Neodiprion lecontei: one gene and its partner. Each later gene encodes a partner of the first gene's protein in a complex. Links are inferred from orthologs where the notes say so. Each region holds a gene or a part of one and is shown on either strand. Other genes may lie near its edges.

What was found.
Region 2: the proteins of NADH dehydrogenase [ubiquinone] iron-sulfur protein 3, mitochondrial (region 1) and NADH dehydrogenase [ubiquinone] 1 alpha subcomplex subunit 5 are in contact, whole or in part, in a cryo-EM structure (PDB 8ESW), measured with the Drosophila melanogaster proteins. The link is inferred for Neodiprion lecontei from reciprocal best matches to the Drosophila melanogaster genes ND-30 and ND-13B. Residues at the interface, in NP_647775.1 of Drosophila melanogaster: Tyr66, Glu69, Cys70, Leu71, Pro72, Lys73, Tyr74, Val75, Gln76, Lys77, Leu89, Ile90, Ala91, Pro92, Glu93, Val96, Pro97, Gln100, Phe101, Asp104, His105, His106, Gln107, Gln109, Val119, Val121, Cys123, Arg124, Asn126, Glu129; in NP_648409.1 of Drosophila melanogaster: Tyr28, Ser43, Tyr44, Tyr47, Thr48, Leu51, Arg55, Cys74, Gly75, Glu79, Gln83, Ala84, Asn86, Glu87, Ile89, Leu90, Lys93, Met94, Trp97, Lys98, Pro99, Trp100, Glu101, Lys102, Leu103, Val104, Gln105, Ala106, Ala107, Pro108.

Annotation. Positions count from the first base shown.
Region 1 is NC_060261.1:6,099,866-6,104,723, reverse strand, and holds NADH dehydrogenase [ubiquinone] iron-sulfur protein 3, mitochondrial, read right to left. Parts: upstream 2,829-4,858; 5' UTR 2,667-2,828; coding exon 2,600-2,666; intron 2,532-2,599; coding exon 2,448-2,531; intron 1,785-2,447; coding exon 1,537-1,784; intron 1,361-1,536; coding exon 1,115-1,360; intron 987-1,114; coding exon 831-986; 3' UTR 631-830; downstream 1-630. Other genes in the region: transcription factor MafK, read left to right, coding at 3,065-3,097, 3,749-4,114; tRNA (cytosine(38)-C(5))-methyltransferase, read right to left, coding at 4,668-4,858. UniProt on the Drosophila melanogaster protein: Core subunit of the mitochondrial membrane respiratory chain NADH dehydrogenase (Complex I) that is believed to belong to the minimal assembly required for catalysis. Complex I functions in the transfer of electrons from NADH to the respiratory chain.
Region 2 is NC_060260.1:32,435,327-32,439,594, reverse strand, and holds NADH dehydrogenase [ubiquinone] 1 alpha subcomplex subunit 5, read right to left. Parts: upstream 2,066-4,268; 5' UTR 1,931-2,065; coding exon 1,910-1,930; intron 1,320-1,909; coding exon 1,158-1,319; intron 970-1,157; coding exon 796-969; 3' UTR 616-795; downstream 1-615. Other genes in the region: KIF-binding protein, read left to right, coding at 2,185-3,996.

The DNA of each region.
Region 1 (4,858 bases):
GTATATAATTGTAACAATCTTAGTATTTCAGATTTTTTTTTTCAAGCCATAAACTTAATATATTATTTATAACTGTATATTAATTACGTGCGTCTTGTTGGCACTAGAATGCACGGGGGTTTTAGATAACGCAAACACATCTACTCTGTTGTTGTTTATTGATTTCACGCGAGCAAGTGTTTTGAACAAAAATTTGTCTATTCATTACGTATATGTTATTAAAATATTTATCGTTATACTACCGAAAATGAAAACGCTTCATCTCCAATATAATTTGCCTCTTCGATAGTCATTAAAATTTTGATTAATTGATGTGTTGAAATTTGGGGTATAGGAAACACACACGAATTGAGAATGAAATAAATAATTAACAATAAATTTATAGCAATTGTGTATCATTTATTTTTCAACGATTATTTTCACATACGGCTTTCGCTTTCTCTCTTTCTCACACTCTTTTTCTCTCTGGCTGTTCAATTATTTACGATATGCGTTTATTTGAATGATTTGCATGTAACAAAACAGCATAATCGTTTTAATATTTCTAGAATGGAAACTCAAGTGAACGGTAAACCAATTACATGTATTATACACGTATGTTGGCAGAGACACATTCAAAATAATATGAACTTCTCGAACAAAAGTTTTTAATGTAAAATTGTACAGTTGTTATACATCAACACCGGCGTACGCTATTATCTGGTAAAATCAGATTTGAGAAGAATATTAGAGAACTTGAATTGTAAATAAACAACTACAGCAACTAATACAATCTGGTGACAATCAATCCATGTTTATTGTGTATACTATATCAGAGCAATAATACATGCTTACTTCTTGTCGACTGGTATCTCCTCAGAACTGGGAGGTGCACCTCGGAAGTTAGGAAACTGTTCCCACGGAGCAGCCAATTCAAATCTTCGGAATTCTTGAGCCATTTCAAGTGGCTCTGCAACCACTCTTTTCTTTTCGTCGTCATAACGTACCTGAATAATTGACATGTTATAGATAATTGTGAAAACACACAGTTAGAGAAGGGTAAAGATTTTCATTGCTTCTTTGAAGCTCTATTAGGGAACGTTGGAGTGGATGATCATAAAAAAAATGTGTATACCTCGACGTATCCGCTCAATGGGAAATCCTTTCTAAGAGGATGCCCTTCGAAACCGTAGTCGGTGAGAATTCTGCGTAGATCAGGATGATTGGCAAAGAATACACCAAACATATCCCATATTTCACGTTCATACCAATTGGCACCCTTGAACACTTCGCAGGCTGAGTCAACTGGCGACAGCTCATCCGTGTATGTCTTGACTCGAATTCTAGCATTGTAGCGCAGCGAGAGAAGATTGTATATGAGCTGTGGATAAGTGATTATTGGAGAACATACATGAATAAAAGTATGATGCAGGAAACAGTCTCAAGTAAATTGAGACTAACCTAATTAAAGATGTTTTGAACACTTTCGAATACTTGAATGAAAATTTTCCACTTTATTGCCACATTGTAATTTTATAAACAATTATCAAATGGTACCTCAAATCTGTTGTCTCTGCTTGGAACGTCGATTGCGGTAATGTCTACTATGTTCAGAAATTGAGCATTTTGATGATCTTTGAGGAAACTTAAAACTGGAACAACTCCTTCCGGTGCTATCAAGACTTCCAGTTCATCTCCTGCTGTCAGTTGAATCTTTTGTACATACTTAGGAACGCAGTCAGCAACGTAGCGACCAAAGTCTGTTAACTGACTGCGAGCAACGTGGTCAACTTTGCGAACAGTAGCTGAAAAATAATTCCGTTTTTAAAAATTTGCGATGCACAAAAATCCCATTCCTCAGAGAAGAAATATTAAAATATATAATGTGGTGATTCCGCTACCATGTGAACAATTGATAAATCGATTACATCAACATTATCACATCATTTTACATGGAATAAGTTAGCATAAAATGTCACAGAGCACGGGGAGTTGAATTCGATTCAAAGTTTTTGTGAGGAAGAAATAATGTCAATCTTTAGACTGCAGTAATAATTTTTGGGTAGATACCTGTGGAGCAATGTTTAAATAAATGCAGCAGTTTGGAGTCGCATTTCTTTAAATATCCAGCTTCTACTAGGTGAAAAGTATTTAGAAATGACTTGAATATCAGAAAAACTCAATCAAGTAAATCTCTAACATTTTCATACCTTGTGAAAATCTGGAACTTTTTATAAGATACTAGGTACATCTTTGAAATATCTTGTTCTACGGCAACGAAAACTTATTCATTCAAATGGCGATATGTGTCTATTCATGTTGGCCCTGTTACCACTCACAAAATTTGCATCAAATTTGATCTCTCTGACTGTGAAATCTCTCTTCGCTAACAAGACAGTTATTCCGCAGCCCATTAGACAAGTGTTATAAAAAATAGTGAGAATTGAACTTGATGTATGAAACCTTACGACGTGTTTCTTCTGTTTTTTCAGCCGGTGGTGCAGTTGGCGGCTGAGCTTGATTTCTTAGCGCAGGAAAGGCGGAAATACAACCTGCAATTGAAGTTTATATAACTTAAAACAGTACGTGATATTGTTAACCGTAAGGTTAAAATTTTTACGTTTCGGAGCTGCTACTGAGGCTAGGCTAGCGATGGCCCGAAAATTTCTCATTATTATTGTGGCCATTTTGGAGTGACGCGATTATCAGTTAATTTTAGTTCTCAATTGAGAATTCTGGTCACTCCATTAATTTTCCTCGATTACAACAAATCCGCACATTTGCTACGTCCCTTTTTCAGCCAGCCAGCACTGGCAATCGTCTGCTAAATCAGCTGCGCAGCTATGTTCACGACGGTCATAAGTTATACTCCTGTTATCATCATAGATTTCGAAATCGATCGCGTTACTTCGACTACGGACCAGCTTCGAGCCATACGATGACTGGCTGCTTGGTGTACGAATCGACAATTTCGAAGCTGGGGAGCCGTCTTTCACGATGACAAAGCATAATATTGTGAAAAACGGAGAGCTAGGAAAAAGTAGCTCGTTCATTGTACTGTCCAACTCCTGAAACGAAGCTGATCATGCCTTCCGAAGGCAAAAGAATGATCGATATGGTAAGTTGTCTTATTCCAAGATATGAAAATTCTCTGATCAACTTCCCCCCGTAAATTCCAAATGCCTACACGCTCATTGATAGAACTACACCTTGTTTGTAATTACGATAGGCGTGTCACTCGTTCAATATTGTAATACAACGTTCGATTCGAGTGACGATTACAGTTCGCGGCTACAGTTTTCTTAATTTCTATTATTATCGTATGTTTTCACGTTTCCTTGTTCATAACCTAAGTAGCTGAGAGTCTTTGCATCGCTTCAAGGGTGCCTAGACCAGCTGTTTGCACAACGATATCAATTATATTGACATTCCTATCTTGTCATTCCTCTGCCTTGTCTGTTATGTATATCGTCTGAAATCGTCTTTCTCTAGGAAATGTTGCTAATCGTTGATAAACAATTTTTTACTCTGATTAAACATCATCTTTAAACCAACTTTACTATGATTAAAATTGTTGTATTTTCTGTTCTACGAATTTATAATATAGAATCACAGAGTGACTAAATTTTCATTCATATGATTAGTATCTGTGATTCAGGAAGTATGAAGAAAACCAGAATGTTAGAAAAATGTCATGTATTCTTTGTCCAGTATTCAATATCACACTTAAATATGTTTTTCGAACAATAAATTTATGTGATGATTTCAGGATCCCCTGTCACCAGGACCTTGCTTAGACATAAGCGATGACGAGCTGGTGACGATTACAGTTCGTGACTTGAATCGTCAGCTGAAACTTCGCGGATTGACGAGGGATGAAATAGTTCGAATGAAACAGCGCAGGCGAACACTGAAGAATCGTGGCTATGCAGCAAGCTGTCGTATCAAACGTATCGAACAGAAGGATGAGCTTGAAACAGAAAAAACTCAGGAGTATAGAGACATGGAGGACATGCAGGATGATAACAACTCTATGAGAGAGGAAATAGAATCGTGGCACAGCAAATACGAAGCACTAAAAAAGTTTGCCTTAGGTAGAAAGATCCACATTCCTGCAGAGTTAGAAACAATGTAGAATATTTCCAATTTCATATTTCCATACGAACTTGAACTTTTCTTTGCTATAGTTTCCCTAATAAAAAAAATAAATAAAGAAATGAATAGCACACTTGAATCAACTCAAATTATACTGAATAAATATTATCCGGCAGATATATGACAAGCCTTTTACTCAATTTTAGTTTAATTTAAAGCTAGTATTGATTTTAAAACTGAACACAAAATTATCATGATCACTCATAGATTTGAAAGATGTATTAGCAGAGTGGCCATCAAAAAGTTACTCAAATTATTTGCCATTTCTGAGGTTTTAAATGGAAGGCCGGTAGAGGCTCTTAGTTAAATCATTCATTGAAACAGCTTTTCTTTGTAAATAAAACTATTAAACTAGTTGCATTCCGTGCTATATTATGTTAAAATTATTCTGTTTTCTTGCTCAATAACTACCCACCCATATTGAAGAGGTATCAGTAAAACGAAAAAAAAATCTAAGCAAAAGATGATCATTTGATAAAATGTATGTTTTTATTCACATCAGATCACGGAAATATTATTGTTCTAATAATGTCTCAATCCAACGCATCAGCGTCGCCATATTTCAATAATTTAATTAATTGGCAAACGACAAAGACGTTTATCGAGTTTCCCAGTAGTCTGTACTTTTGTTTCGTCGTCGTAGTCTTTGGAAAGTGAAAGTCTTCCGGAAAACACATTAATCTAGCAATCTCACGGGGTGTAAAGTAACGCAATTTCAAACTAT
Region 2 (4,268 bases), on another chromosome or scaffold:
TTTGTCTCTCATTTAGGGAAGTATGCAAACATAGAAATGTGGTTACGCAATCAGAATCCAAATAGGGACAGTCAGGAAATTTTGATAAACGACATCCAGATGGGACATCAAATACTTCGCAAGAAATATTAGTTGCACTAATGGATGATACTGTAGAGCGTAGAGCAGATCTTTAACTATGGCTTGAGTTTCAAATTAGTACAAAGAGAGTATGTTATACATATCTTTCTGGTGTCGCTATTATAATTTTTTGTGGTCCGGAAATCTGGAAATACTACAAATCTGTTAATCTCCAACTCGTCGGTTTATTTAGACTATTTTTTATCTATAATAAAATTTCAATATTTAAAGTGTAAATGTAAGCTTGTGAATAAATTCGTCACAGGGATTTTGGCTGCAAAGTCTTGGTAGATCTGCAGATTTTTAATTTTTCATTAATGCTAACTTAACTTGAGACGTAATTAGACCGTTACTAATTACATCTTCCTTTCTGGCACATATGAAGGTCATTACGTGATTTGGTCAGAAAAACGAAGAAATATTGCTCTTGAATATTTTAAATAAAAATCTTGACCTGTTTTTCAATGCAGAAGCACGTTAATTAAGATGACATAGTTTCATTTGATTAGTCCATGCATATTTTCATTTCTTTAATGATATCTATTTTCAGGAACAAGTAATTTCTTCCAAAACTGCTATTTTATAATCGGAGACAGACGTATATACAATTAATATTGTCTACTTTGCGTATGCAATGATTATAAACATTTTAAATATGCGTAATCGATTCACATATTATTTGTGCGGTGGCCAAGTCCATTGGTTAGCAGGTGCTTCTTGGATCAACGGTTCCCAAGGCTTCCAACCTAAGAACTTTCTCGCCAAGTGTAATTCGTTTTCAGCTTGTAGGATTAATTCTTCAGCTTGGCCACAGTTTATGGCTTTTTCAAGGTCTGGCACTTTTAGATTCTGAAACGATTTAAATCCTATAATTTGTCAATATCTTTTTTCTTACCAAGGTAACAAGCATATCTTTTCAATAAACCTTAATGAAAATCACGATTTTCGACTTTACGCGACATCATTCTTGATCAGTTTATAATTTAATAATCTTCCAAGAATAACTATTAATAAATAAACTGTGCAATAATAGTTACATTTTTCACATGAGCAGCTCGTTCCTTAACAATTTTCTCCGTATTGATTCTGTAGGGATAATCCTTGGGCATTTTATCGACGGCTCTAAGAATTTTACTGTACAACACTCCCAAAGTATGATGTGGATTCGGGGCAACGGGCACCCTGGCTAAATTTGTTGACTAAAAAAGAGAATACTTGATATTGAACATTTAAAAAGCATTGAATATACTTAAAAAGGCTTTAAAAAGTCACAGCTCTTTTGGAATATAAACATACGAATCAAATGTCTCAGTCATGAATCTTATAGTTGTTAGTTAGTCGTAAAGAATCCTTCCATCAAACAATGATAGGACTTCTGTGATATTCTGCAAAGTACTTTAGTTATCAATTTAAAAAAACAGAAGCATGGTAATACAACTTGAGCAGTTAGCGATTTTATTATATCTCACAATCAAATATAAGCAGCCACGAGCAGTTACCTTTCTTTGACTACATCCATCCACCAGAGACAATGTCTAACTGGTAGTGAATTTTGCATAAGTGAGTCTCGAAAGGATCGATGACCTTTATAGTTACTGGCGCAGCAATAAAAAAATACGTTTAAAACGCTCCAATTCTTGAAAAATACCGTTTCTCAACGCGTATTCGAGAAGTGATTAATATGATATACAGGTTATGTTGTGTAACACCTGACGTTATTTGCCATAAAGAAAAATTTGCAAGCCCATTTCTAAGAAATACCAACAATTCAACTATGTTAGACATTTACCTTTTTCAAAAGCCCAGCCATATTTTACGCAAATTCTGAATTCCTCGATACTTTGCACAAGTTTTCAGGATTAATTGAGACTACGGATCGCACTCTATCGTCTGCTCACAGCGTCTGCTTGAGACGAAAAACGCAAAACGGTCTGCGCACCGCGTAGACGACGAAAAGAAAACAGGAAAACCGGTACTTAACCTCAAACACGGATCAAATAAATCAGTCGTCGTTGCAGCTTGAATTTCAATCACTTCAGTATATTGTCCGAAAGTGTCGTTGAAATGGAGCTCGATAGTGTGAATAAGGAGATTCTAGTGGACCTGGAGGAGAAATACGTCAAGGTTCGAAAGCTGCTGGACGAGCACAGTAAATTGGACCCGGAGAGTGAGCCGTACAAAAGTAAATATGCGGCAGCCGATATACTCAAGGAAATGCAGATTAAACTTGTGAAAATATTAGACGACAATATAACAGAACACGACAGAAATATTGTGACAGCAATGCTTGCTGTTATCTGGCTCAATATGGGGATAATTTCGGTCGACACGGAGGAATTGGCAGCCGGTGAAGAGCAGCTGACCAACTGCGTGGACCTTTTGATTGACCGAGAACTGAGACCAGAGGCAATATTAGTTATACTTAGTGCTCTGAATCAGCTGGGAATACTCTGGGCCCAGCGAGACAATCCAAAAACATCCCAGAAATATTTAGAAAAAGCTGAAAAAATATACAAGGATTTTACTGCGATTGAAAAAAGCGATAGTACCAAACCCGTACTTATGGCCGCATTGTTCAATCTGAAGGATGATGACGATGACACAGACGCTGAGGAAATAGTCGAACGACTCCACACTCTGACTCTCTACTACTTGGCGCAAATCTATGGAACCTTAAAGGATCACCTCAAATCCGCAGTCTACTGCCACATGACTCTGAAACGTCAGTTGAACCACGAAGATCTGGATTGTGTAGACTGGGCCTTGAATGCTGCGACTTTGTCCCAGTATTTTATGGAAAAGGGAGGGTTTAGGCAGGCCAAACATCACTTGGCTGCAGCTTCATATATTCTGCAAAAGTACGAGGATGAGTTGAGAAGTTTGGACGATACGGAGGAAGTGGTGGCAGCAAAATGGGAAACGTTCAGACATAGAAGCGCAGACGTCGCCAGGTGCTGGGCAAAATATGGGATCCTGCTGTTGAGTACATCCAAAGAAAGGCTGATGCATCATGCCGATGATGAAACGAGCGAAATGTGCTCGGAGATAAGTAGGATGCAGTTGGATGAGAACTCGGGGGTCACTGAAGAATGTATCGAGAATTTAAGATTCACAAAGATAGAGAAAGAAATTGAAACTATTGCAAATCAACTGACAGACAAATATGCTTTGGACTTCAACGATGCCAGGACGATATTTCTGAACTCCCAACAATGGCTTGATGAGGCAAAAAAGTATTACACATTGGAGAGTCATGCGTCGGATCACGTGCAAGTGATACAAGACGTTTCGCAGCTCTTTAAATTCTTGTCATTCTTTGAAGAGGATGAGGATCGCCAATCTAAAATGCACAAGCGGCGGGTCGACGCCTTAGAAAAGATTGTTACAGAGTTAAATCCACAGTATTACCAAACTGTGTGCAGGCAACTATGGATCGAACTGGGCGAAGTTTACTGCGATATTTTAGATATTAAGCTTGAACGTCTGCAAGCGTCAAACGAAAGACCGACCGCCCAGGCACTAACTAAAATCAATAACCTTGCCAGGAGTGCGATTGGAAACTTTCAGAATTTTTTAGATTCTCTGGTGGATCCAGCCACTCACAATTTCCCAGACAAATTTTCCGAAGATTTAGTTAGACCCGCTTTATTTGCTTACTTTTTTTTGGGAAGATTGTATTATAAAATCATAACACCTGACAAACATGCACAGCTAGAAAATCTTCGAAATAGTTTGAATGCCTACAAAGCGCTGATTGGCTACTGTGAGAAGGATGAAAAAGCTGCAGAATTGATGAGCGTGGAATTGAGTGTCTGCAAAGACTTTGTTAATCTTTTACCATTGAAAATAGAAAAATTAACTAGAGAATTGGTATAAATATGATGTCTTTAAGGCAATAAAGATTCATATTCATTTCTTGCTTAATACAGCTTTTTTTGCAAAACATTATTTTAATAAGTTTGTATTATAAGTTATTGAAACTATACATTTTTTACGTAATACTGATATTACTCTCTGTACCTAACAACTCATTAATCTCACGGCTTCATCTGACTGTGTAAATCTGAACATAGGTACAGGCAGTAAAGTCGGTACTTATATTTCTGAAACTGAAATAAAAATACCATGCTTTGTGCGTTTACATCTTA